Rattus norvegicus: one gene and its partners. The protein of the gene in region 2 interacts with the protein of the main gene of each other region in a biochemical or structural test. Links are inferred from orthologs where the notes say so. Each region holds a gene or a part of one and is shown on either strand. Other genes may lie near its edges.

Evidence for each region.
Region 1: the proteins of Cdk2 (region 2) and Orc2 form a complex in vitro, tested with the Homo sapiens proteins (2 studies listed by BioGRID and IntAct, with this or other methods). The link is inferred for Rattus norvegicus from reciprocal best matches to the Homo sapiens genes CDK2 and ORC2.
Region 3: of the proteins of Cdk2 (region 2) and H1f0, one has a biochemical effect on the other in vitro, tested with the Homo sapiens proteins (11 studies listed by BioGRID and IntAct). The link is inferred for Rattus norvegicus from reciprocal best matches to the Homo sapiens genes CDK2 and H1-0.
Region 4: of the proteins of Cdk2 (region 2) and Cdc7, one has a biochemical effect on the other in vitro, tested with the Homo sapiens proteins (2 studies listed by BioGRID). The link is inferred for Rattus norvegicus from reciprocal best matches to the Homo sapiens genes CDK2 and CDC7.
Region 5: of the proteins of Cdk2 (region 2) and Poll, one has a biochemical effect on the other in vitro, tested with the Homo sapiens proteins (2 studies listed by BioGRID). The link is inferred for Rattus norvegicus from reciprocal best matches to the Homo sapiens genes CDK2 and POLL.
Region 6: the proteins of Cdk2 (region 2) and Mcm3 form a complex in vitro, tested with the Homo sapiens proteins (2 studies listed by BioGRID and IntAct, with this or other methods). The link is inferred for Rattus norvegicus from reciprocal best matches to the Homo sapiens genes CDK2 and MCM3.
Region 7: of the proteins of Cdk2 (region 2) and Mybl2, one has a biochemical effect on the other in vitro, tested with the Homo sapiens proteins (3 studies listed by BioGRID). The link is inferred for Rattus norvegicus from reciprocal best matches to the Homo sapiens genes CDK2 and MYBL2.

Annotation. Positions count from the first base shown.
Region 1 is NC_086027.1:67,506,150-67,509,649, forward strand, and holds part of Orc2 (origin recognition complex subunit 2), read right to left. Parts: intron 3,175-3,500; coding exon 3,076-3,174; intron 519-3,075; coding exon 409-518; intron 1-408. UniProt on the Homo sapiens protein: Component of the origin recognition complex (ORC) that binds origins of replication. DNA-binding is ATP-dependent. The specific DNA sequences that define origins of replication have not been identified yet.
Region 2 is NC_086025.1:1,719,079-1,723,286, forward strand, and holds the start of Cdk2 (cyclin-dependent kinase 2), read right to left. Parts: upstream 2,801-4,208; 5' UTR 2,651-2,800; coding exon 2,535-2,650; intron 2,473-2,534; exon of another isoform or gene 2,256-2,472; intron 1,839-2,255; coding exon 1,761-1,838; intron 1,663-1,760; coding exon 1,542-1,662; intron 392-1,541; coding exon 221-391; intron 1-220. Other genes in the region: melanocyte protein Pmel 17 precursor, read left to right, coding at 4,193-4,208. UniProt on the Homo sapiens protein: Serine/threonine-protein kinase involved in the control of the cell cycle; essential for meiosis, but dispensable for mitosis. Phosphorylates CABLES1, CTNNB1, CDK2AP2, ERCC6, NBN, USP37, p53/TP53, NPM1, CDK7, RB1, BRCA2, MYC, NPAT, EZH2.
Region 3 is NC_086025.1:112,472,128-112,475,640, reverse strand, and holds H1f0 (histone H1.0), read right to left. Parts: upstream 2,362-3,513; 5' UTR 2,221-2,361; coding exon 1,636-2,220; 3' UTR 501-1,635; downstream 1-500. UniProt on the Homo sapiens protein: Histones H1 are necessary for the condensation of nucleosome chains into higher-order structures. The histones H1.0 are found in cells that are in terminal stages of differentiation or that have low rates of cell division.
Region 4 is NC_086032.1:2,959,657-2,963,156, forward strand, and holds part of Cdc7 (cell division cycle 7-related protein kinase), read right to left. Parts: intron 1,406-3,500; coding exon 1,312-1,405; intron 1,229-1,311; coding exon 1,086-1,228; intron 379-1,085; coding exon 129-378; intron 1-128. UniProt on the Homo sapiens protein: Kinase involved in initiation of DNA replication. Phosphorylates critical substrates that regulate the G1/S phase transition and initiation of DNA replication, such as MCM proteins and CLASPIN.
Region 5 is NC_086019.1:254,354,890-254,358,942, forward strand, and holds the start of Poll (DNA polymerase lambda), read right to left. Parts: upstream 2,801-4,053; 5' UTR 2,781-2,800; intron 2,005-2,780; 5' UTR 1,980-2,004; coding exon 1,868-1,979; intron 1,120-1,867; coding exon 825-1,119; intron 636-824; coding exon 476-635; intron 188-475; coding exon 1-187. Other genes in the region: protein DPCD, read left to right, coding at 2,941-3,004.
Region 6 is NC_086027.1:30,730,947-30,735,180, forward strand, and holds the start of Mcm3 (DNA replication licensing factor MCM3), read right to left. Parts: upstream 2,801-4,234; 5' UTR 2,710-2,800; coding exon 2,632-2,709; intron 649-2,631; coding exon 536-648; intron 142-535; coding exon 1-141. UniProt on the Homo sapiens protein: Acts as a component of the MCM2-7 complex (MCM complex) which is the replicative helicase essential for 'once per cell cycle' DNA replication initiation and elongation in eukaryotic cells.
Region 7 is NC_086021.1:172,145,305-172,148,804, reverse strand, and holds part of Mybl2 (myb-related protein B), read right to left. Parts: intron 1,836-3,500; coding exon of another isoform or gene 1,833-1,835; coding exon 1,733-1,832; intron 293-1,732; coding exon 179-292; intron 1-178. UniProt on the Homo sapiens protein: Transcription factor involved in the regulation of cell survival, proliferation, and differentiation. Transactivates the expression of the CLU gene.

The DNA of each region.
Region 1 (3,500 bases), on a different chromosome or scaffold from region 2:
GAGACCTAAGCCCTCAAATATGCTGTACAAATGCTCTACCACTGAGCTATACCCCAACCTGAAATCAAATACAGTAACTATGTTTTTTGTTTGGTTAAGGTTGTCTTTTTGTTTTTTGGGTTTTTTTTGAGACCTCAAATTCAGAGATCCATCTGCCTCTGCCTCCCGAGGACTGGAATTAAAGGCATGTGCCACCACCATCCTGGCACTGGTTTTGGGTTTTGAGACAGGGTCTCTCTATGTAGTGCAGGCTGTCCTGGAACTCACTATCAAGACCAGGCTGGCCTTGAACTCACAGAGGTCACCTGCTTCTGCTCCCCAAGAGCTGGGATTTGCCATCACAGCGGGCAAATCATGCTCTAACACAGACACACTTACTGCTCCCTGTGCAGGGTCCCAATAATTTACCGTAACTGTAGTATCCACTTATCAAACAATCTCTCATGCTGTTGATTCAACTGTCCAATTTCAGTAGAAAAGGAAGGCACAAATTTGCTCAGTAAGTTACGCAGAGTTTTCTTTAAAGAAAAGAGAGACAGAAGTTCTTAGTGAAAATAATGACTTAAATCAGGTACGAACATTGAATGTTAATGACTTAAATCAGGTACCAATTGAATGTTAAAAAAAAAGTCATAGATGGCTTAAATACTTGTTTAATTACAAGCTATCTTTAAAAAATAGTAATACGTCTCCAAGCCTAGGAGTCTGGGGCTGCAGCTCACTGCTGGAGTGCTTTCTAGCAAGTGTGAGCTCTGAGCTAAAGTCTGCATAATAGTATCAACATTATAAACAACAACATTCAAAGAAAACCAAGTCTGTAGATTTGAAAAACTTTAAAAAGAGTGATTCAATATTAATTTTCAGAAAACATTAAGGTTCCTTTATAATTTACCGTCAATAATAAACCTGTATTTGCTCCCTTTCAAAAGCCACCTTTCACAAGTGCTGTGTCTTTGGCGTTGTGTTGTGGTGCTGTGGGATGGGTATACAATACAAGGATCTACAACTACCACTGGGAGCTAGTTAAGTCCTCCCCCTCTTAGGCTGCTGTCCCGGTTATTAGTCACAGTGATACAAACTGCACTGTAAGGTAAAAATCTGTAAAGACAGTAGTAATAGAAAACACTCCCAAATTTCAGTCTGGGGAATCAACTATAATCTGAAGATCCCAGAGAAAGCCATTCGCATCTTTACTCTAGTGCTGCCTTGTTGTGGTTTAACAAACACATTGTTTCACTTGTACGCACCAGCACACATGGGCCACATACACATGTATGGATATCACAGAGCAGCTTGAGAACTGAAGGTGGCGGCAGACTTCGTGCTCAGTGTCCTTACCTGCTGGGCCACCTTGCTGACTCACACACTTTCAACACTGAGGGTTACAATCAAAATCCGGATATCAGCTCCTACAGCTTTACTCACAGTTAGGAGAAATAAGACTCATCTTAAGCGCTCATGTCTTTGGACGTCAGAGCAGAGCACAGAAGGCACCACCATCATCCTCAGTCACTTATACTAGGCTGAGGATGTTTACCCGAGCATGAGCTTGGCGCTGTTGTTTTCATCTACACACTTGTACCTGAGTCGTCAATTTTCAGGCGAACCATACTGCACTGTCCATACCCTCTGATTTGCTGCCCTTCCCTTCTGAGTGGATTATAGCTTCCTGACTCCTGACTTATGTTCAGCCACGTCATCTGGTCCGCCACTAGAACAAGGCACAAGATTGCCAGTGTTTACCCAAGGCTGTAGAGGCTATCTGCTTTCCTCCTTAAGTCTCTACCATCATCATACGAATATGCCTCAGCCACCTGACTGGTCCAACAAGTCATGCAGACACGGGCATAGTCTAGACCTGCTAACCTCCCACTAACCCACAGCAGCAGAAGCAAACGGTCATGCTACGTCTGTAACCCCTCCTTCCCTATCATCATCAGGCTCTGAGGGCTCATTTTGCCCTTGGATACACTTAGGTTTCTCTCATGTGGCTTATAAAAGATAAACAGTAGACTATTAGTGCCAGTGCTTTCTTGGAAAACCTTTTCTTCTTTCCTTCCTTCCTTCCTTCCTTCCTTCCTTATTTATTTATTTATTTATTTATTTATATCAGGTGTGTGTGTCCATGTGTGTGTTCATGTGTTTGTTAACAGTGGGATATGTTTCCCAAGTATGTGGAATCCAGAAGTTGGGCATCTTCCTCAAACACTCTCAATCTTTTTTATTTTAATGGGTTTTTTTATGTATATGTATATATGTTTATGCACCCAATGTGTTCATGGCGCCCAGAGGTGGTTGTGAGACAGCTGAGTAGGTGCTGGAAACTGAGGCACGCCTTGTACAGTAAGCAGGTTTACTGTTGAGCTGTCATGTCAGCTAATAACACTCTCTTCTTGCCTTCAAATTATAAACCCAACTGGCCTTTTAGAATTTTGTTTTTTCTTTAATTGTAGAGGGAGGTATATGCAAGTAAGTCGCCCATGGAAGCTAGGAGAGGGTACTGGGTCTTGAACTTTGAAAGACATCACCACTCAGCAGTTGTGTCCTATGTTAGAGGTGTCTGTCAGTCAAAATTCCAACAGAGACAGACATAGTAGACTTTTTGTCAAATGAGGTCATGGGAAAATCCAGCACGGTCACCCTTGCTACTTTACTTCGCCATACAACTTTTCCAAAAAAGCAAGGGAGATATCCTCGACAGCTTTTGCAAAGCCAGTAAGTGAGCAGTTGGGCTGCAGGTTTTGCTATGTAAAGGTCAATATAGGATTACAGCGAGGAACAGAGCAGCAGTTCATGGTTATCAGAACGTTATGACCTTGATAGTTATTCTAAATCCTTAATCTAAATCTAAATCTAAAAAGAAATGAAAGAAAAAGGATAATTATGTCAAACAGAATTCTAATCAGTGTATTATCTATAATTCACGCAGCAATCATTTAATGATGATAGCATATTAGCATGTGTTCTACTTTATCAGGGAAATAATTCCGCTCCTGCTCACTTCTCTCCAAATGTGCTACTGCTGTATTTTCAGGTTACAATAAACAGAATGCTGGCCACACCCTCGCAGCACACCTGGTCCACTCTCGCTCTCCTCAGCTTCTGCAGCGTTCTATCAGACGTTAAGACTTTTGAACTACTGTGGGCTTCAAAATATTCTTCTACCAAGTCACCCTGAAATGAACAAAGAAAAGTGAGGTCTAAGTAATTTCAGATATTTGTACTACATAAAATCTATGTATTAATATTAGTTAACATTGGGCTCAAGAAATTCTCCTGCCTTAGCTTCCCAGACAGCTGGAAAATACATGTGTGTGTCAACATGCCTAACTTAAATACCTTAATGACAGTATTTTAAAAGAAATAGTATACTTTTCAAGGACCAAAGATGATTTAATTCTACCAATAAATGTTAATAACTCTCATAAAGTTATTAACAGAGGCAGGAGGATCTCTGTGAGTTCAAGGCCAGCCTGGTCTACAGAGTGAGTGCCAGGACA
Region 2 (4,208 bases):
TTTTTTAAAAAAAAATTTATTTATTTAATGTATATGAGTACTCTGTTCAGACACACCAGAAGAGGGCATCGGATCTCATTACAGATGGTTGTGAGCCACCATGTGGTTGCTGGGAATCGAACTCAGGACCTCTGAAAGAGCAGTCAGTGCTCCTAACCACTAAGCCATCTCTCCAGCCCCATCTCCCAAGATCCTTAAGGAAAACCATAAAGGGACTTACCTCATGAGTGTAAGTACGGACAGGGACTCCAAAGGCTCTTGCTAGTCCAAAGTCAGCCAGCTTGATGGACCCCTCTGCGTTGATAAGCAGGTTCTGGGGCTTAAGGTCTCGGTGCAGGACACGGTGAGAATGGCAGAATGCTAGGCCCTGGAGCAGCTGGAACAGATAGCTCTGACAAAGGAGAGAGGGAGGTTTGTTTCATCAAACAGATATGACTTATTCTTTATCCTCAAAATTCAATATGCTGGGCTGGAGAGATGGCTCAGGAGCTAAGAGCACTGGTTGATCTTCCAGAGGTCCTGAGTTCAAATCCCAGCAACCATATGGTGGCTCACAAGCATCTGTAATGAGATCTGATGCCCTCTTCTGGTGTGTCTGAAGACAGCGACAGTATACTTATATATAATAAATAAATAAATCTTTAAAAAAAATTCAATATGCTGCACAAGAACTATACCATATACTTGGGGAGGGGTTCTTTAATTCTTTAGTTACATTTTATTTGTTTGTTTATTTATGGGGGCAGGGGCATGCCACAGTGCATGTGTAGAAGTCAGAGGACAACTTGCAGGAGCTCCTTTTCTTCTTGTGTGGGACCTAGGGATGGAGTTCAGGCCGTCAAGTCATTAGGCTTGGAGGCAGGCGCTTTCACCACTGAGCTATCTTGTCAGTCCTGCTTGTTTTTAAAGATACTGTCTTTCTGGCCTGGAACTTTGTAGCTTGGCTGCCCTTGTACTTACATCCTACTGCCTCAGCCTCCCAAGTGTTAGGATTACAGACACAAACCAACACACACAACTACAGCATAACCACACCTTTAATAGCGATGTCTTTCACTGAATTTTCAGCCTGGCAAGGATATAGACCAGATACTACTCAACTTTTGCATCCCTTTTTTCAACCCCCGTGTCTAGCAACACTGAAGGTGTTAAGTGACTATGTGTTGAGTAGGTACTTGCTGATACATTCAAAGTGCTTCCAGGATCCAGCCTAGCTTGAAAACAGACCACAGAGACTCACTGATTAGTTTTTCCCACACCACAGGTGGGAGAATTTATTTCAAGGAACTCATCTACCCTCAATCTCCTGTATCTGAGTGTTATCTGATCTCCTTCCTGCCTGAGCTGCCTTGGTTGGTTCACAGGAGCTCAATTTGGATTCTTCTGTCCATTCTAGGGTTAATGACTAATGACAGGAAAGGGGGGAGTGTGTTAAAGTCAGAAGTCTGAGGGGAAAAAAAGCCAAAATAAATCATTACTAGTCCGAATTACCTGCTTCTAGTTTCCCCTAAAGCGTGTAGGCTAGACTTGAGCAGGATTACCTTGATGAGGGGAAGAGGAATGCCAGTGAGAGCAGAAGCATCCATAAACTTCTTGAGGTCCTGGTGCAGGAATTCAAACACCAGATAAAGCTTATTTTCTGTGTGGATGACATCCAGCAGCCTGCAAGGGAAGTTCCAGGAACCAGAGTTGAGGGAGAGAAATTGTGAGGCCAAGCAAACAGAATTCATCTTGGGGATCATCCCTCAGAGTAGACTTACTTGACGATGTTAGGGTGATTGAGCTCCTTAAGGAGGGAGATCTCTCGGATGGCAGTACTGGGCACACCTTCAGTCTCACTTGGAGAGGTTGGGGAAACAGAGGCGGGAAGACGGTTACAAACATTATTCTTTCAGGGATACACAACCCCCAAACCCATTAGGAAGTCAGAAAGGAAAGGTGTTGTCAGGGGTTAATTCCTGGGTAGTCAGGGTGTGGCTTTTAGACAATATTCAAGGTCATTATTTCCTCTTTTTCCAGTGGAAGATAAGGGAAGCCTCCAGGTGAATAAAAAGCAGAGGAAAGGTAATAGCGGAGGGGGTTGAGAGTAGCTCCCAGCCTCCCCAGAGAACCAGTGAATCTCAACTGCCATTCTTTTGAAAGAGGGTGAGGGTTCTAAGTATGGTGCTGGAGTAGTGAGAAGAGCTCTCCACTCAGAAAGGAGCTTTTCTCTGGTTCCCACATAACCCAACTCCATGAACAGCCCTGGATCCTACCTCAGCTCCCACCTCCCACTTTCTCTTCCCAAGTCTCTCGGCTTGCAGATCTGGGAGCACACCGGGAGGAGCACGACAAGAAACTTTCCCCTGAATTCTAGCCCCGGACAGTCTCCTCCGGGAGAGCGTCCACCGTCCGCCAACCCACCGCTCGCTTCAGGAGTCCCTCCCCGCCACCTTCCGGTCCCGGGAGGCTACCCGCCTGTTTGGGTAAGGGGTTGGGGGGGGGGGCAGCCAAGAGGTCCGGGCAAAGGAGTTCCGGCTTCGGAGGCCACTCACGTGTCGAGCCGGATTTTCTTAAGCGCCACAACTTCTCCCGTCAACTTGTTTTTGGCTTTGTACACCACTCCGTACGTGCCCTCTCCAATCTTCTCCACCTTTTGGAAGTTCTCCATGGAGCGCTAGTGAGGCGGCTCAGGCCCCCGGGAGCGGGGCCCGGGAACCCTGACGAAAGCGGGCCGGACACTCGGAGCGGAGGACCTGGGGGCCCGGGTGAGCACGGCAGCCCTAGCTCGGGATGGAACGCAAGCAGAGCTCAGCTCTTGACAATTTGTCCAACTTGAAACAATGTTGCCGCCTCCCCCACTGCTCCAGCCTGCCATCCGAGGCCCCGCCCCTCCTTCCCGCGTTTCCCTGGCCCCGCCCCCCGTCCTTCCGATTGGTTCACGTCACGAGGGCGGACCGGACCCCGCGCTCCCGCCTCAGAGGCCCCGCCCCCGGCAGGCGAGCGGAGGGGCCGAGGCGCAACTTTCCCCTAGTTCCTGGTTTAGGTTCCGCGGGCCAGAACTGGTGTTGTTTCTGGTCTACGGATTTTTCTTACCTTTCCCTCACAATTTTCACCATCCCTTGGGTGAGATTAAATTCCACCTGGCCAAGAAAGTCTCTTTTAAAAAACTAAACCTGGGAATCTTTAAAAGAAAAAAATACGTATTTTAAATTAGGTGTGTGTTTGCGTATCTGTAGGTTTTCACGGAAACAGCAGATCCCCGGGAGCTGAGGTCCTGGGCGAACTCTGGTCTTCTGCAAGAGCAGCTTGTGCTTTCAACAGAGGTGCCGTTTCTCCAGCACTCCCACCTGCTTTTCTGAAACATCTCATAATGCAGCCCTTGTTGGCTGGAATGCGTTCAAAAGTCCACGTTGTCTTCAAACTCACAGAGATCCGTTTGGCTCGGTTTCCCGGGTGAGGCCATGTGGAACACGAATTCAATCTCTCTCTCTCTCTCTCTCTCTCTCTCTCTCTCTCTCTCTCTCTCTCTCTCCCTCTCCCTCTCCCTCTCCCTCTCCCTCCCTCCCTCCCTCTCCCTCCCCCTCTTCCCCTCCCTCCCTCCCTCTCCCTCCCTCTCTCCCTCCCTCCTTCCCTCCTTTTTCTTTCTTTTCTTTTTCCCAGACAAGGTTTCTCTGTGTAATCTTGGCTGTCCTGGAACTCGCTCTGTAGGCCAGGCTGGAAAATCAATCGGGACTCTTATTGTAAAGGATTCTTTGGCTAGATAACAGAGTCGTTTCTCAGCCTAGCTTAATACTGTCTCACTGTTTCGGGGTTCATTGGCTGCTTGTGTTGTTTCATTGCTGGCAATCTACACTCCCAGCCCCTTCTGGCTGCTTTTGGATAAAGGTGCTGTTTCTGTCTTAAGGAACTCTTTGGTTTGACTCAATTCTCTTGACTCTGCCTTGCTGAACTGTGACTGTGAAGTATATGAATTGCGGCTGCCCATCAGCGAACTCTTTCCAGAATAAGTGTGTGTCAGTGAATGTGACCCAGTGAAACCAGACACTGTCATTGGAGCAATGGGATGAAATCAGTTCCGGCCCTTTCCTTCTTCCCAGGTTTCCCCTCCTCTGGAGGGAGAGGAGGAAGGCCTATGCAAATGAGCATCCCCTTCTATATAGGGGCTCATTCTCACCCCCTGGTACCTTTGGCTGCTGAAAGGAGGACCAGTATGGGTGTCCAGAGAA
Region 3 (3,513 bases), about 110 Mb from region 2:
TGAGCCAGCGCTGAGTGAGCACGGCGGCCGGGGGACAGCGCCGCGCGCCACAAGAAGTTGACCCACATCGCGCCCACGGACTGAAGTGTGCCGGCCAGCCTGCCGCCTAGAGCTCCCCGTCACGAGGTGTGGGCAGGGCCCAGGCAGCCAATCAGAACAACAGGAGCTTACTTTAACTGGATGGTTAACCCCACCCGCAGGCGGAGCCTGACAGCGTTTGCCCGCGACGCAAAGATTGATTTGTAAGTCGAGACTGGGAAGGTCCGCGCTGGGGAAGCTGAGTAGGGGGAGAAAAGCGACTTCAATGCCTCTCCTTCTTAGAGCCTACCAACACACCTCTCCCAAAGACCCACCTACGTGCTCAGCGGACCTGCTTGAGCATTCCGGTCCCTCCAAAGCTTTGCTGTTCTCTAGCGCGAACGTGGCACCACCAGCTCTCCCCACATTGCCCGTCAGATTGCTCCTCTCTTCTCCAGTTAAAGAAAAATGCACCACTCAGATTTTTTTCCTTTCCAGTTTTATTTTAAAGTTTTAAAATTACAACCACAGTAATTTTTTCCCGGCACTAGTTACACTTGTTTAAAAAGTGGGGTAGGGTACCCGAGTTTCCTACTTTATTAAAATAAGAGGACAACTGTACAGAGTTTTTCTCCCAGCTCCCGAGGTGAGACTAAGTACTAGTCTTAGATATGGATATATACATATACACACATGCACACAATCCCGCTTCTCTAAAGCTACCTAGCAAATTCGAATCCACGGGAGTATATCCCACAGTCCACTCCCTGCCTCTCCCCCTCCTCGGCTACTTAGAAAAGACTCAAAAGCTTGGAGGGGTTTTAAGTGGCAGCTGGTAGAACTGAAGTGGCACCAAGCAATGCCACATCTTACACAGGAAGAGGGGAAAGGAAACGAACAACGTCCTCCTAGGACACAATCCATCAACCGTGTGGAAAAACCCAAGTTTCCATAGGCACACTGAGGCACTTGGCTGACTCTGCACCCCTCCCCCTAAGTCCACTCCCATTTAACCAGAGACTGCTGAGAAGACCCTTCCTTCCCAATGGCTAAATCCCGGTTGTGAGAAGCTATGGCTTCTCTAACCAGCTGTCACTTGGAGAGGCACTAGGGCAGAAGAGAAAAAGAAATCAGGTCCCCCAACTTACCACCATTGGTAGGGCAGCCCAGGGAGTTTATCCTCTTCTCCCCCACAACCCCCCTTGGCCAGGTAGATGGGGTATCACCTGCTCATCAAAGGTTCTGAAACGCTCACTAGGGACAAGCAACCTAGTTCCTGGGTCCTCACCTACCCAGAACTTTGCCAGTTCCATTTACCTTCATAGTAAACAAACCACCGAAGGAAACACACAACGCCCCCCCCCCCCACAACCCCGTAAGGTTAATATCAAATCAAGAAAAAAGTACATCTCCATCATTATAAAGATGAGGTCTGTTTGCTGTCCTTGAACAATGGGTTAAGGAAAATATTCCACAAAGTCTGTCTGAGGAAGCCAAACTCTGTCCTCTATAGAGTCCAAATAGAATGGGCAAAGGGTTGCAGATGGGATCAAGAGAGAAATGTATTTACAGAAAACAGGAGGGAGGAAGGAGTGTCCCCAAGCAAAGCCTTCATTGTCATTTCTTCTTGCTGGCTCTCTTGGCACTCGACTTGGCTTTGGGCTTCACGGGTTTGGCCTTCTTGGGTTTGGATGCCTTGACTGGCTTGACTTTGACAATCTTGGGCTTTTTGGCTTTCTTGGGCGTGGCAGCCGGCTTCTTCTTGGCCTTCTTGACCGGGGTGGCTTTGGGTTTCTTGCTTGGGGCTTTGGAAGCAGCCTTCTTGGGCTTGGCTGCCTTCTTTGGAGTGGCCACTTTCTTGACTTCCTTCTTGGTCTTCTTGAAAGCCACCGACCTCTTGGGCTCATCGCCCTTGGCCAGCCTGAAGGACCCCGAGGCGCCCACCCCTTTGGTTTGCTTGAGAACACCGGTGGTCACTAGGCGCTTGATGGACAACTTGATCTGGGAGTCGGCGTTCTCACCCACCTTGTAGTGGCTCTTGATATACTTTTGGATGGACTGGCGCGAGGAGCCGGCGCGGTTCTTCTCTGCCTGGATGGCAGCCACGATCATGTCTGAATACTTGGGGTGGTCCGTGGACTTCTTGGCGGCCTTGGCCCGCTTGGGCTTCGCCGCCGGGGTGGAGGTGGAGTTCTCGGTCATGGTGGCCGGCCTGCTCCGGCTGTTCAAGGAGCCTTCCAAAGGGCCAGCCTTCGCCGGAGGCTGTGCAGAACCTGACTCGCGATCTGTTCTTCCGCTCCACTAGCAGGCCAGACTAAAGTGTGGCTGCCGGGGACACGGAAGACGCGTGGCTCCTGTCCTCCCGGCGCGGGTCGCGAGCTGCTCTGCGCGCCCAGCCCCCAGTGTTCCGTCGCTCTCCCGGCGCCTGGCGCTGCCTCCGCCTCCGCCTCCACGGCCTCCCTTTTCCCAGTTCTGCGTCTGGCGCTCGGGCGGCGCATCCGGGTATTTAGCGGCGGCGGGCGGACCGCGGTGAGGACTGGGCTGCTGGCTGCCTGCTCCCGGCCCGGAATGGCGCCGCGCTGCCGCCATCTGTGTTTCTTCCGCCGAGCAAACTCGACCTTTCCCAGCGGCCCGGGCCCTCCCGCTGCCCGCCGTCTCTCAGGGTCTCTGCTCGGCTCCCTAGGCTTCCCCGCTGGGGACCCTGGCGCCCCGGCCGCCGCCCCCCGCGCCCGCCACAAGCCCCAAACGGCGCCGAGGAGCGCTGGGGCACCGGCACATTTCCCCTTTGCGGGGGACTGGCTCTGCGGAGGCGGGGAGCCCCGGGACTTGAGACCCCCCGTAGGAAAGCTCTCCCCTGGGACTACCAGGGACCCCACTCCCGGCTGCCTGCGGGGTCCCCCAACCTGGCGGAGCGGCTCAGAAGCGGCCACAACTAACACACGCGGCCCTGAGCTGGGCGACTCCCAACCGGGCCGAGTCGGGACAAGGGGGGAGGGGTCGCCTCCCCGGGGTCCGGTCACCTCTCGGGGGTCACCGGACCACAGCTCCCCTGACACCCCTACCCCCTCTTTGCCTGCGGGGACCTCAAGGAAACTTTCCCAGGAAGAGTTGGAAGGGCACTTTCAAACTTTGTCCCTTCCCCCTCTTGAGTCTCCTCTCCCCTCGATGCACCCCCGGACCTCCGCGAGGAGATTGCTCCCTAAGCCCGAGCCCCCCAAAGCTTCCTGAGACCCCTGGGAGATGCGGACCGGCCTCCCGGGTGGACTGCTCTCCTCAAAGACCCCCCCACATCTTCCATATACCTGAGTATAAGAGTTCATTTACATGCCTTGCTAGCTTGGGAGTTTTGGGGGTGTGAGAAGCAGGACGCCGAGGCCCACCCTGGGGGGGGAAGGTCCCCTCTCCCACTGCCTTTTCAAGGTGGGGTGTGCCTTGATGGGGGGTGCAGTCTATATCATAGGTGCTGCCCCATGGCTCTGAGCAAACTGCCCTGGG
Region 4 (3,500 bases), on a different chromosome or scaffold from region 2:
CTAAAACATGTAATGTAGGTTTGCAAAGGCTTCTTAACCCTAAGTGCTCTCCTAGTATTAGGTCTCCCTCTGTTGGTTGATGGGAAACATTCCTAAATCGTTCTTATTGAAAATGTAAAAGGTAGAACCTTTCCGTCTTTTCCTTGCTTAATGTGAATCTGTGCGTTTGCATAGGATCTTTTGACAGAAGTTTTTGTGGTGATGTGCTGATCCACATTTTTAGGTGCTGGGCGACTCAGTGGGCCCTTGTGTCCAATGACTCCATGACATTTGTTTCGTGAACAATCTTCCTGCTGAGCTTCAGACTGGACAAACTTGAGCAGCTCTATCTTTGTGTCACGGGTTCCTTGGGCCAAACCGAAGTCCACCAAGGCATACCTTAGAAGCAAATCGAGTATTATCACCCTCCTAGAGAGATTCAATCTTAATAACATTGTGATGTTGTCAAATCACATCCAAAACTATACTTCATTCTAGAACAATTAAGAATGTATAATATTCTTTAAAAAAAGAAAAACTAAAAATTCCCAAGAACTTAATAGCTAAGGCTGGACATTAAAGCTGTGTCCTTGAACCAACCGGCCGAGTGCTGTCTGCTGCTCCCTGGCCTGCACCAAGACGAGGCAGAAGAGGACTTAGCAGAAGAGGACTCAGCAGAGACAAACGACAGAACCCTGCCTTGTAGCAGGGAAGATGGCGCAACAGCAGAAAATTTCTAACTAAACAAGGGCCAGTGAATACTTTTAAGTCCTTACCATACCTAAGTATGATATTTATAAGGTCGTGTCCATATAGAATCAACAAAAATACTCATGTAATAACTTTGGTTTTCACACAGAAAATGGATTATGTGATCCAACATTCTCATTAAAACAAAAATAAAAACAAGGTCAAAGGTCAAAACAGGCCAGGCTCCAATTCCTTCCACCTAAGTTCGTCTCTCAGGATGCGCATCATGTTCCTAACACAATCTCACTTTCTTCATTCCATTCCCCCTCCCCAGTCACACTGAGAACACTGCGTCTCAGAGATGGGCTCCGCAGCGTGAACCCGATGCCAGCGCTTCCTGGACTCTTGGCACTCACTTTTTCAGGCGTCTATTGTATAAAAAGTTACTGGGCTTCACATCACGGTGAACAATGCCAAACTGGTGAATCCGCTTCAGAGCTACGAAAAGGTTGAACATATATTCTCGAACTTCTTGAAAGGAAAGAGAATTCAAAATGTCCTAAAAGAGAGTTATGAACCACATCACAAATTGTTTCAATTTAACCATTTAGCTGATTAAAGTTAAAAACGATTAAAACCTACCAGAAAAGACTCATGTTCCAGGTAGGGCATAGCAATCACCACATGGTCGTTCTTCCTGAAGCAGTACTTCACTCCCATGACATTGTCCTGCCCCCTGGTGGAAAATGCACATGAACCTTAGAGGGAAGGTCGAACGCACCGTAACTTTATGCCTTAAAAAGAATTAGTTGTGCAATGTACATGTACTCACTACTAGAAGACGCAAAATCACATTCATGAATATAAGCATTTAACTGACATATAAAAGATAAAATTTTCAAACTAAAATAGCACCAGCTACAAGGCCACTCTAACAATGCAAACATGAAATATCTGCAGATAACACGAGTTATCAGCAGATGCGATACGCCTAGTAACACCCCCTGACCATCTCCATGACCAGCCAAGCTTTGGTCTAAGCATTTTACACCTATTAATACTCAGCCTGACATCCTCAAACCTCTTCTGTCAGCCCAGAGAGCTATACGGAAGAGCAGAAAATTTAAGAGCCAGAGGGGATGGATGACTCCAAGAAAACAGACTCTTCCAGATATAATACTGAAACATGCATAAATTCACAGAAGCTGGGGCAGCACACACAAGTCCAAACCAGATGGGGTCCAGCACTGCGGGGTAAGATATGGGCTCCCACCCCTAACGAGGAGACTCTCCTGCAACTGGCACCTGCTTGCAAAGGAAATTAGCCTTCCCCAACGGAGTCTCACAGGTATACTAACCACATGCAACCAACCGAGTCTCCGGGGTACTGACCACAGGGAAGGCAGGCCCTACCCAGCAGCAGACGGCCAACACAACAGCACAACAACAAAGGCTTCACTCATTTTTATAGACACACATTGTTTTGTTTGGGTTTTGTTCTGTTTTGTTCTTAATAGTCTTTGCCCTGTGTGCTATGGTTTCTGACCGTGTGTGTGTGTGTGTGTGTGTGTGTGTGTGTGTGTGTGTGTGTGTGTGTGTGTGTATTTTGTGCGTTTATTTTGTTTTTTGAGACAGGGTCTCTCAATGTAGTTCTGGCTGTTCTGGAACTCACTGTATACCAGTCTGGTCTAGAACTCAGACACCTGTCTCTAACTCCCAACTCCTGAGATTAAAGGCGTATGTCACCATACCTGGTCTTCTTTTGCCTGTCTGTTTTCTAAAGGGAGAAAGGGTGTAGAGTGGGTACACAGAACAGTTCACAAAAGTATGGTGTAGGGGTTGGGGATTTAGCTCAGTGGTAGAGCACTTGCCTAGCAAATGCAAGGCCCTGGGTTCGGTCCTCAGCTCTGGGAGGGAAGTATGAGGGGTGGGAGGGGAAGGGGGGTGGGAGTTATGGTGTATATGCAGGAGTTTCCTCTAGACATACATCTTACTCAAAGTGCTGGACCTATGTGTAAAAGAAAGGATTTTACAAGGAAGGAACATGGATATCAATAAAGTAGGAAAACCAGACAAGGAAGCATCTAAAAGCACGAAGACCTCAGCCCTTTCCTTTTCCTGTTCACATAATGGAAACCAAACAAAACTAACAAAGTAACCTAAGGAGAAAGCGTCTACTCTGGTGCCCAGTTCCATCAAGGCTGCAGCACTGGGGCAGCGGTCACATCACATCCACACAGGGAGCAGAAACCTTCTCCTGTTTACATAGTCCAGGACCCCTCCAGGGAATGATCCTGCCCAGTTAAAATGGGTCTTCTCTCACCAAATAACCTAACCAAGATAATCCCTCAAAGCCTCAGAAACTATCTAGAATCTAAATAATCCCTCACAGCCTTGTCTCTAGATTATTCCAGATCCTGTCCAGTTAAAAACACATTAACCATGACATTTTTCAAAGTGTGAAACCAACTTGCAGGGGAAAAAAGATATTTTGGGTTTGTTTTACTTGTTTGTTTTTTGTCCATAATCTCACTATAGCTCAGTCTGGTCTAAAAACTCATGCAATCCTCCTGCCTTGGCCTCCCAGCTGTTGGAATTAGAGGCAAGCCAGATTTGGATAAATTTTTATGTACTTGATGACAGGCACCATTTAGGAGTAAAATGAAGATGTGGAGGACAATAAATACATGTATGAAGGATGATACATTCGTGTCTGGATGATATGACATATCCATGTTTGGCTTGAGCAACTGAGGAGATAAATGGTGGTATCTTTTGCACACGGGCAGACAAGAACATTTACTGGGATGGTTATCTTCTGGCCAGAGAAG
Region 5 (4,053 bases), on a different chromosome or scaffold from region 2:
GGTTGTAATTAGTTGCCTTCTGGCTTGAGGGCTGTGCACAGACCCACTTACCCAGAGCTTCTGGGGCTGGGTCAGGCCCACCATCTTCCCCAGGGGGAGTGGGGTAGTGCCCACTGATCAAGGCTTGCAAATCTGCTGAGCTAACCTGGGGCCCTTCCCCATCACTGGCTTCATCCTCTGAGCTGAGCTGCGAACAGAAGAACACAATAAATCTGGGCCCTCCTCAGAAGAGAGAGTTGTCTGGTGGGTAGGTGTCTCCTGCTTTGACTGGAGGAAAAGGTTCCAAGGGGCTCCTCTAGAACCCAGCCCTGGGCTTCCCCGTGGTATATGGCAGACATAACTTGGTGAACGCAGGACTGATAAGTGTTGGGAAGAGACAGACAGGTGCACAATCAAGAGATACCTAGAATTTTCTGTATAAAATCCAGGCCCTTCCGTTTCTGTGATCAGCACCCTGAGTTGGAAGGCTCCTCACCTGGGTTTGGGTTTTTGGTGGCTTTTCTGCCTTTGGGGGAGGAGATACAGCTCTGGTACAAGGAGGGGAAAGAGAGAGCGTTGTCCTGGGTAGAACCCCCTGAGTGCCAGGAGCAGAAGCATCTTGGCCTGACTTGCTGGGCTGTGGTTCATTCAAGGACCTAGAGGGCAGGGGGAGGTCACAGGCAGTTAGAATATCAAACGTCTCACCTGCCTCTGTCCCCAGTCTTCCTCTACACTGAAACCTTGGTATGTCCAACTTAAAAAGTAGGAGTTGTTTTTTTAATAACTCAATGGAAACTCAAATGTTATTATCAACAAACACCTGAGAAAGGCTAAGGGCAGCCGACCTCTTAGGGCTGGAAAGGCTGAATCCGTCCGTGTCTGTCAGCTTTTTCTCCTGTAGACACAAGCTCAGCCAGGCTGACTTCACCAGCTGAGCACCAGGGGGCAGCTGGGGCAGTCTGAGGAGCCGGAGAGCCCGTTCATAGTCCATGCCTTCATCCACCACAATGTGAGTGACTCCTGGGGCCTGGGCAGAGCACACCTGGCCACCATGCTGGATAATCTGCTTCTCAAAGAGTTCAGCCCGGGCTCGCCCAATGCCAGTGGGCATAATGTGGGCCCTCAGGGAGCTCAGCCATCCTGGGAAGAGGATACGCAAATGCTATTACCATTATATAATAATAATAATAATAATAATAATAATAATAATAATATTATTATTATTATTATTGCACTATTATTTGAGACAGGGTCTCATGTAGCCTAGGCTAGCTCAAACTCACTATGTTGCAGAGGATAACCTTGAGTTTCTGATTCATTCTGCCTCTCCAAGTGCTGGAATTACAGGTTGTACGTCAGTGAGTTGAGAAAGTTTTAGATATAACGAATTGTTTGAAGTCACCTCCCTTCATTTTCCTGCCATCCAGTGAACAAAATGCCTTCAAGGAATTCTACCACAAACATACAGCAAACTTCCTTTTTTGTTGTTTTGTTTTGCTTTTCAAGTTTGAAGGCAGCCTGGTCTATAGAGCCAGAGTGCCAGGACAGCCAGGACTACACAGAGAAACCCTGCCTCGGAAAAACAAAAAAACAAACAAAAACAAAATCAAAGGACAAAGTGCCGGCTGAATGTGGTGCCGCACACCTGTAAGCCTCGCACTTGGCAGTGTCAAGACAGGAGGATCGGGGCTTAAGGTGATTGTCAGCAAGGTCAAGGTTACATTGAGACTCTAAACAAGAGAAAAGGACAGAAACCGAAACTGATACAAGGTATGTACAAAGAGATCTTGGCCCCTCACAGGTAAGGCCATTCCTGCTATCTGATTCTGACTGAAAACAGGAAGGCTGAGAATTCCAGTATATGAGGTCTGGGGGCGGACGGGCTCACCTCTAGCATCTCCTGCCTCCCTTTTGGGAATCTTTGCAAGTGCGTTTGATGATGGATCTGCATGAATTTTCTTTCGCTTGGGAAATGCCTTCAGGATGCCCTGGGGGTCCATTGAAGTGCGCTGGATCTGGACCTTTCTGTTTAAGGACAGATGTCATACAGAAAGCCAAGAGCGAGAGCCACCCCTTGACTATTTTGGCATAGAGATGGGACTTGGGGGTACAGACTCCTTTCTCCGAAGTCTCGGAAACCCCAGTTAAACTTAAGTGATTTAATACGAGCGCCACACACACCAGTCTTTCAACCTTAATAGTACTAGGGAAGCCATAGAAAGTCTGGGATTATTGCGGGGATGGGGGTGGGGGGTGGGAGTGGGAGTTGACGGAAGAGAAACAACATTAAGTGGGGGAGGGATACAGCGCAGAATCCGCCTGTGCTTCCGCTCCCAAGGGGCTTTTCCAAAATGATAACGGGCTAGGAATGGGGACTACATCTTTAGGAGGGTCTTCATCTCCCCCAATGAATTGAAGTCTAAAGGACATGTCACATAAAGCTCACATCATCTTTCTCTAGCCTCAATGTACATTAGCAGAAGAAAACCTGGGGAGTGCTGTGTGCGCTGTGCACCTGCCCCTGTCGCAGCCTCCTCGCGCGGGTCTGAGCCCCGCAGCTGCAGGGAGGTGGAGGGCAGCCACAGCAGCTGGAGGGTGCCCTCACAGCTGGAGGTGGGCAAGACCGGAGCAGATGTGCCACTCACTGCACGAGCAGCTGGCACGAACCGGGGACTCCCAGCTGGGGCCAGAAGAGAGCTGGTGCTGGGTCCCTCAAAGCTCTAGGAGCATCCCCACTCCACCCGGCCCCAGGACCGGTCCAAAGTAGGCCAGAATCTCCCGGCAAAGAGAAATAAACTCACCATGGGAGCCAATGAAAACGGATTGGGGGAGGAGGAGGATTGAAAAAGGGGGAAAAAAAAAAAAATCTGTTCCCAGAATACTTCCCGGGTCATCCGGAAGTGATCATCGGTCGGGTAGTTGCCATGGCAGTGGCCAGGCGCGTTGCTGGGCGGAGGGAAGATGGCGGTGACTAGCTGGCTGGAGATTTTGCGGTCGGCCGAGAAGACGGCACTGCTGCAGGATGGTAACTCGAGCCCCCTCGTTCTTCACCCCTAGGGCGGGCTCTATGAGTCCGCTCGCCCAGGGAGGGCCTCAGCCTCAGCCTGGGTGGGCAGAGGTGGAAATGTCGCAGCAGCCATCAGCCATGCTTGCTTCCTGCTTTTGCAGAGGAAATAGGCCCAGGGAAATGACCCGAGTGGAACCCAAGTCTTTGGTCACCCACCTCAAGAGTTCTTTATACCATCCCATCCCCGCTGAGACTTTTGTTGGTATTTGTTCCCAATAATTTCATTGTACATTCATCATCGTTCCTCAGGGCTGTACCACAAGGAAACTGAAATTCAGGAAGGTTTTAGACCAAACCCAGGTTTTGCAGATAATCAGGTATAGTTCATGACCTGGAACCCCATGCACCTCAGTTTGGGGGTCCTATTGATGGCAGCCTAGTGGCATAGAAAGGAGAGGCACCAGGGTTTTAGGTCAACTGTACTATTCATTTACCATGGCCTCTTAAATTGTTAGGACCCCATTTTCTTCTATTATAAAATGAAGTGGGTGGGCTGCTACCGTTGTTTCTAAGGTCCTTTCCAACTGTGCTTTGTTTATGATGTGGATTTCACATTGTTCCTTGATCTTTAGGGGAGATAGAACGAGGGCTACGGTCTAAATGACTAGGAACAGGAGTTTGATATGTCAGCTTTTCCAGCAACTGGCCAGTTTAAGTCCCCTGTGCCCCAGAGGTCTTTCACGGACCCACTTGGCAGCCAGGATGACTTGGGTCTGAATTCCTGAGTCTTTAAAGCTAACAGCTAGGGACTTAACATCCACAGGCAGATGCCTAAAGTTTATGGAAATTAAAGTCAGTTTCATTTGCTCCTACCTACAACATTTAGGGAGCCCATTACCGTAATGTACCAAATTCTGTGCCAGGCAGATAGAAAACAACCAACCAGCCAACCATGGTTTATGGTCTCCTGGACCATCGAATGATCAAGAAAAAAATACGTAATCAATTTGTGTTAAATAGAGGTTGGAATCTTAGAAAGGCAAAGAAAGCCCATGCTTGCCATCTCT
Region 6 (4,234 bases), on a different chromosome or scaffold from region 2:
ACGTGCTTTGAGCCGAAGCTGCCCTCTAGGCCTATGTAGAACTCCTCGTACTGCTTGGCATAGGTAGCGTCAATGGAGGCCACGAAATCCTTCAAGGCCCGCTGGAAGGCAACCAGCTCCTCGAAAGCATTGTTCAGGAGGCTGCACGGGGTCAAGACAAAGACCCATTAGACAGAGCTCAGGAAACTGACCCTCAATACAAGAAGGAACCACCTTGGGTCATTATGATCGGTGAAGAAAACCCACGTCTGCTTTGTCCTACCACTGTGAAAGACTTGGTAAAATACGTCAGAACCGAAGTTGACATCAGTTCATCAAAGATATAAGAAATGATGCTCAGCAAAACACTGGGAGACGGGAGCACCTGGGATCGAAACGCTACCACCTCCTCTCTGGGAGAGGATAGCCTCCATGTGTGGACGTCAGGTCCATGCAGTCTAGGTCTTTCCCAGGAAAGCCTGTCCCAATCTAAACATGATGCCTTCCTTTGTCCCTCACAGGCAGTGGAACCCCTGGAAACCCGGTCACGGCTCACCGGTTAGCCCTCTTTTCATTTTTCCTGCGCAGGTCATTCACATTGACAATCAGCCGATACTGGTTGTCACTGATCAGCTCCCGAACTTTATTCTGGTAAATTCCTTGGTCTTCCTGTGAAGCGGGAGTAAGACAGATCAAATCATACTGTTTGACATATTAAATCAATTAAGACATATCAAAACAGCTTTACAACTCAAAAGTGTTTCAGACCGGAAGCAACCCTGGAAAGGAGCCCTCTAGACCCCAGATGAACACAAAGTCTGTTCTTCAGTCCCTCCCTTTCATTTTCTCTGGCCTCAGATTTCACCCACAAGCTATCAGGAGACTCTAAGAATCATAAAGTCAATGTCACCTACGACACCCAGGGACCCCTTTCTACAGGTTCTTGGTTGTACTGATAGCAAGCTTGGATCTCCAAAGCTGCCGGGAGGGAGAGACACAAAGAGGAAAAGCTGTTTAGAACTCACGGAGCTTCGCTACAATTCCAACACTCAGGCATCTGAGGCAGGAGGATCACCACTGAATCTAAAGCTAGGCTACAGAGTAAGACTGCTTTAAGAGCAACAACCAAAAGAGCAAACGAGCAGATAGGTTCACAGTGAGACCCTGTAAACACTGGTAGAAAGAGGGGTCTTCAAGTGAGAGCAAGCCTTTCCTGAAGGTAGCCGGAGACAAGTGTCATTCAGAAGACAGGTAAACACAACAGCGGGGTCTGCAGCTGTATCAAGAACTTGAGGTACTTAAGGACGGATAACATGAAGGCAGGACAGTCATTTCTGTGTTCTTTATCTTGTCCTCTGGTACGACATGCTTCTGTCTGAAAGATGATCTTCCCTACGTTATAAAGCAGGCTTCCCTTATCATGGGGTAAGGTCTAGGCCTTTCTGGACAAGGAAAGCATACCTGTTGTCTTTATCACGAGAGCATTGGGGACCGGTTAGCATTCAATGTATAATGGGGTTCATGATGGGGGGATGTGGAGGGGAAGTCAACATGAAGGTATTCAAAAGTCCAAAGCTGGAACTTGGGAGCTACTTAAAGCCTACACCAACGAAAATGACACTGGATACTAATTATGTCACTTACACACAAGAATGCCAGCATGTCGATACACATCTCAAATGGTGCCCAGGGAGTAGATGGCTGCAGACAACCTTTCCTCCTGCCCAGCATCCCCTATCACATGCTACTACAATCGACAGTTGTCCTATAGGCTTACATTTTAGCTGGGACTTAGAATGACCTAAATCTTAAAGACTAGTAAATAAATAAATACTCTTAAAATTCAAACTGCTTTTCATCAACAAACTTACAGGGCTCAACATCCTTTAAAATTTAGGTTACACTTAAACCCCATCTTACCTGCATAGAAAACACTTTGAATTCTCAAAAAGAAAGCCTAAGTTGTTAGTCCCGCCCCCACCCCATCAGTCATTAAATCTGAGGGCTGGGAGCCAGTTGCATTAGCCCTTCCAAGGAAGGGTTAAGACGGCCTTTCATCTGTTTACACCTGACCAGTCTCCTTTCAAGTTTAGGGGTGGGGGTGGAGGTGGGGGTGACTGCAAGCACAAGGCCTGGGTACCATCTACAACACGGCAAACAAACAAAAAACAAGAGAAAACCCATTGACTCATTTAAAAAAAAAAAAAAAGACAGTAATTAGGCGTGGGTGATCAGTAGCAGCAATGAAAAGGAGTGGTGAGAAAGAAAGAAATATGACCAGAATACATTATATGTTTATGAAGTTTTCATAATGAAACTAGTACGTATAATTAACATGAAAGGAAAGTAGCTTTTAAAATCTTGAGGTCTGTCTGAAGAAGGAAAAAGAAAAAAAAGATAACAGGACGTATCAGCGGCCTGGGCCCTCCGCGGAAACCCCATCAGCCGTGTCTCATCACCCGGGCCAAGTCACCCGCGGGGACCCCATGAACCGTGCCCGGTCACCCGGGTCAGGTCACCCGCGGGGACCCCTTTAGCTGTGCTCCGGCACCCGCGGAACCCCAGCACCGTGCCCGGTCACCAACAGAGACCCCATCAGCCACTCCGTCACCCGCGGGAACCCCAGCACCCGGCTCGCAGCCCGAATTTCACCTCGTCGTCCAGGAAGTCCAAGTAGTCTCTCTGCGCTTCGCGCAGCTCCACGTCGTCCAGCACTACGGTACCCGCCATGCCGCTGCCCCGAAATCGCCGGCCACCAAAGAGTCCCGCAAAAAATAAAAACGTGTGTGACTCCTCCCTGGCGCGAAAACTTCCCAAGTTTTCCCGCCACGGAAGTTTATGGTGGAGGAAGCAGGGAGCACAGACGCGTTCTAATTGGCTGACTTCTTCAATAGCCTTTTATTCGGTTCTTGGATTGGAGAGAAATGGTCGCTTTCTCCGCCCTAATAGGAAGGCTGGCCAATGACACAGAAAAGAGGCTCAAAACCCACCCCCTAGCCATTGAGCAACAAGGAAGACTAGGAAGCACTGCATTCTGGGAGTTGTGGTCCTCCCCACCTTTTGTTTCTTTTTCTTTTTTCTTTTCTTTTCTTTTCTTTTTTTAAAATCTGTAGGTAGTTTTGTCAAATGGGAAGTTAGGATTTACTGAGGAGTCCAAGTCTGTAACCCATAAGCACGCGTACATATGAAGACAGAGGTTGACATCCGGTGTCTTCCTCAATCTTTCTTCACCTTGTATTTTTGAAAGAGGAAATCGAAACCCACGGATCCATCTCTTTAGCCTCCATATTATTAAGTTTAAAACACTTGTTTTTCTAGCCTTCATTTCCTCATATACAAAATGTGAAGTCTGGTTGGGGATTTAGCTCAGCGGTAGAGCACTTGCCTAGCAAGCGGAAGGCCCTGGGTTCGGTCCCCAGCTCCGAAAAATAAAAAAAAAAAGAAAAAGAAAAAGAAAAAAATGTGAAGTCTGAATTCAAAACTCTCCAGTAAGCCATCACCAGTATTCCAAGAGTCGATGGCACATTAGAAATGGTATAAAGACAAATTTTATTCACTGAATCAATCGTGCTATTGCCTTTAGTACCGCCTTGATTGGCTGTGTCTTGATCCGCAACCTTGAAGACACGGAGATATGTGATTGGCATTTCTTCCTGCATTCATAAGGACATGAGATAGATAAGCAGGAAATCAGATGGTTCCTTAAAAATAAAAAAGAAGACAAGGAATGCAGCTCAGCAGGAGCCTGATGGGTGACATATAGAGCCCTAGGTTTAGCCACCAAAACAAATGAAGGAAAAACAATTAGGTACATGCGTGCACCTGCCTTTCATAAGTCCAGATGAGTTTTGTCAATGGCTCCCCTATGGTCTGACTCAAAATGAAGACACACATACATATGTTAGCATTCTGTCTAAGTTCCACCCCCACAGTTACCTGGCGACAGCCATGTATGCCTGACACTATAAAAGGGGCTGCTTGCCCCGTCCTCACGCTCTTGCTCCCTCTTGCCCCTCTCTTGCTCTCTTGCTCTTACCCTCTTTTTTCTTTGTCACTTCTCTCCCCATTCCCTCCCCCCCCTTCTCTCCATGTGCTCATGGCCGGCCTCTACTCTCCTCCTCTCCTTTTCTACTTCTCTCTCTCTCTCTCTCTCTCTCTCTCTCTCTCTCTCTCTCTCTCTCTCTTTCTCTGACTTTCTCTGCCCTTCTACCCTCTTAACTCCCCTCCCCATGATTTGAATAAACTCTATTCTATA
Region 7 (3,500 bases), on a different chromosome or scaffold from region 2:
TCACAACGCTGGAAGAAAGGCTGCATCATTCACAGTACGGAAGGACCCAGGTGAGAAGCCAGGGCCCTCTCTGGAAGGAGCAGTCACGTAAGGCACTTATGGGTCCTCCAGCCCTCAGGTCTGGCTTTCTATGTGAACTGCCCAGGCAGAGCTGAGGGTCAAGCCCACAGCCACTCACCCCAGGCTTTCTCTTCTGTTTCTCGGGTCTCATGTCATCCTCAATGATGAGCTCAATGCCAGCCTCGGAACGAAGCACCTCCTTCAAGTCCTCTTCCAGGTGTGGGGTTTGGGGCTGTGGGCAGAGGCGAGGGTGAGCATGGGAGGGCCACTTAGACTGCAGGACGTGTACGTCTAAGAGGTAAGCAGTACAGGCAAGCAGAGAGCTCACGCCAGGACGATGACCTCATGTGCACTGCTCATAACCATGAACTGTCCTGCCTTGGACAAACGGACGAAGACATTAACCCCGAAGGCCTATGGGTTCAGCTCTGCACCCCCATAATGCTGTGTAGCAATTACCATGTCCAGAGTTGAAACTCAGGCTCACACCGAGGGCCCGACCCAAACCATAGCAGTCATTAGAGCTCAGATTCGTGAGCCCAGTCTTCCACCAAGTCCCAGCTCTCATGTGTGGAGGTAGAAGCACCCCTTGAACCCAGGAATTTTAGACAGCACCACCTTCTATGACCTAAGCACCCAAGAGGCCAAGGTGGAGGAATTGGCCCCAGGCAAGTTCAGGGGTGATCTGAGTGTGCTGGTTAGATCTCCATTAACTTGATACAAACTAGAGTCATCTGAGAAGAGGGACCCTCAACTGAGAAATGAGACACCCAGTGAGACTGGGCTATAGGCAAATCTGTGCAGGTATTTTCTCCATTAGAGATTGATGTGGGAGGGCCAAGGGTGGGCTGTGCCCCTCCCTCTTGGGCAGGTGGTCCAGGAGTGTATAAGAAGACAACTCCTCCATGGCCTCTGCATCAGTTCCCTCCTCCAGGTTCCTTCCCTGAGTTCCCTCAGTGATGGACTTTAACTGTAAGTTGTAATAAACCCTATCTTTCTTAGGTTGCTTTTGGTCACAATGTTTTTTACCAAAGCAACAGAAACCTAAGACACTGGGCTTTGTAGACAAGTTACCTCAAAAACTAAAGAACCTACAGCCCCGAAAGCCACGCTCCTTCTGTCTTTGCTCCACACTAACTGGGACACAAGGGTGTCCATTTCCGTTGCTCAGGAGCTCCCTTCCTTCCTCCCCATGTTGTGAAGACTGGCTCTCCATCCGCTTGCCCCAGGAACCCACGTGCTGGATTAGAAGACCACCATACCTGGCTTCCAGCTTTTTCTTAAAAATAGGGTCTCGTGCCAGTTAGGCTAGCCTCAAACTTGCTAGGCAGCAGAGGACGACCTCGAACTTTTGATCTGCCTGCCTCCTCCACCAGCCAGGTACTGGTATTATAGGCGTGTGGCCAGCACCTCTCAACCCTTTCCTTTACAGTAAACTCTTCCGTTTTTTAGATAGCATGCGTTTTAATATCCACATCCCCCATCCAAGTCACCACTACCTCATCAGCCAGCCAGTATCTGCCCGGTGCGCTGAGGGGACTCAGGGCATGTAGATGAGGTGACAAGTGGAAACTGTACTTTGCTAGAATATAGAGACCCCAGAGAAAAAAGGGTTCGTCATCCCATGTTAGATAAACCCAGCCCAGAGACTCACAGCATCCATGCCACATACCAGGGGTTTCAGTGGTCCATATTTCTCCAGAGCATTCTTGAACGGGGTTGGTGTGTGGGGAGTGTTGTCCATGGAATACTTCTGATCTGGGGTTACAAACCTGCTACAGGCCAGAGGCAGCAGCTCAGCAAAGAAGAGCAGATTCACTTTCCAGGTCATGCCCACCGCTTCCCCACAGATACCTTCCCCTACCACAGTGGTCCAATGGTGCCTGCCTGCCTGCCTGCCTGCCTGCCTACCTGCCTGCAAAAGTCTAGGTCAGGGGCCCAGAGCAGCAGCTGTCCTCAAAGAAAGGACAGGAAGAGGGGGGAGGAGGCCAGGACAATACTGGAGAGTGTTGCCCCATCAAAGTACGTATGTGGGACGTCCCAGAAACAGGCAGGCCTGAAAAGACTACACCCTCCCTGTATGCCCTCTCTACAGAACGTGTCGTGAGGTCATGATCTATCTCCACAAGTCCCCTCAATCATCACGGTGGAGACAGAAACGTGGTGAGAACCCATTTGCCACGTTCCCCCGTGTTCTCACTCTACCCCTTCCCAGCTCAAGAGCCACAACTATGCACAAGGGCATGCTTCTACCTTCAAGCTTTGGTGGTTCCTCCCTTGGTCCCTTTCTGCATTTAAAGATACAAGTCAAAGTCTTCTTCTACCTCTGGACAAAATGCAACAAGAACTAGATATTCCCTCTCGGCAGTAGAAGAGATGGCTGAACAGGGGTACTGGGGACATCGGGGAACTGGGGAAAGTGATCCCCCAAAAGAGGGGGGAGTCTATGGCTATTCCAGTTATCCTAGCCACAGAACAGAGAGGGGCCCCCAGGTCGAGCCCAGCAGACACGTGAGCCGAAGAGAGAAAGGGTCCATCCAACACTGGGCAACTAGCTGCCGAGTGCTGACACAGGCAGTGCCTGAGAGGAAGGGCTAGCTGTCACGGTGACATTGTCAGCACAGCAGGCCCTTCAAAGTACTCTCAGCGCCATACTATCCTGTGCAGTCAGGTGAGGAAACCACCTTGGCCCACGTGAGTACGACTCGGAAAAACTAGAGGAAACAGCCCGTACGTGACTCACAGGCCCAGAAGGACACTCTTTCTCACTGGCTACACCAGATGAGCGCTATCCCTTGTTGAGATGGGGGCTCACTGTGCAGCTTTGGTAGGCCTGAAACGTGCTCTGAAGACCAAGCTGCCCTTGAACTCAGAGGTCCAATTGTTCCACAGGCATGCACCACCAAGCCCACCCTGCTCTGTCCCGTCTTAGTAGATCCTTTAAAGGACCCACTTCTTACTACTGACAGCACCGGCCTCTAGTCATCTGCGACTGTGAAGACCAGGCTGTTCTGTGGTTCAGTGTCCCTATTTAAAGGATTCTCGTTTGAATGTAAGAACTTCTCGCAAGGCCTATCATTTCAGACTGAGCAATGGATTAGTAACTTGTTTCTGAAGGCATCTCGATACGTTGTACAATCCCTGAAATGGTTCCTTGGACAGACTGCAATGCTTCACTGAAAACCAACGAACAGGAGCAATGACAGCACCCTCATGGACCCAGAACTCCATTCGCCACCAGAGGAAGTGGACGCCCTTGGACAACCCTCCTCACAGCAGGCTGAGGACAGACACACTGCTGAGCTCTAGGCTCCAGAGTCAGACAGCGCCCAGGGGCACCTTATGGTTCAAACACATCTGATCCACACTTGATGCTTATCGACGGAGGGAAAGATCTGGATTTTTGTGACAGTTGACATTTCTGAGATCATCAAGTTAAA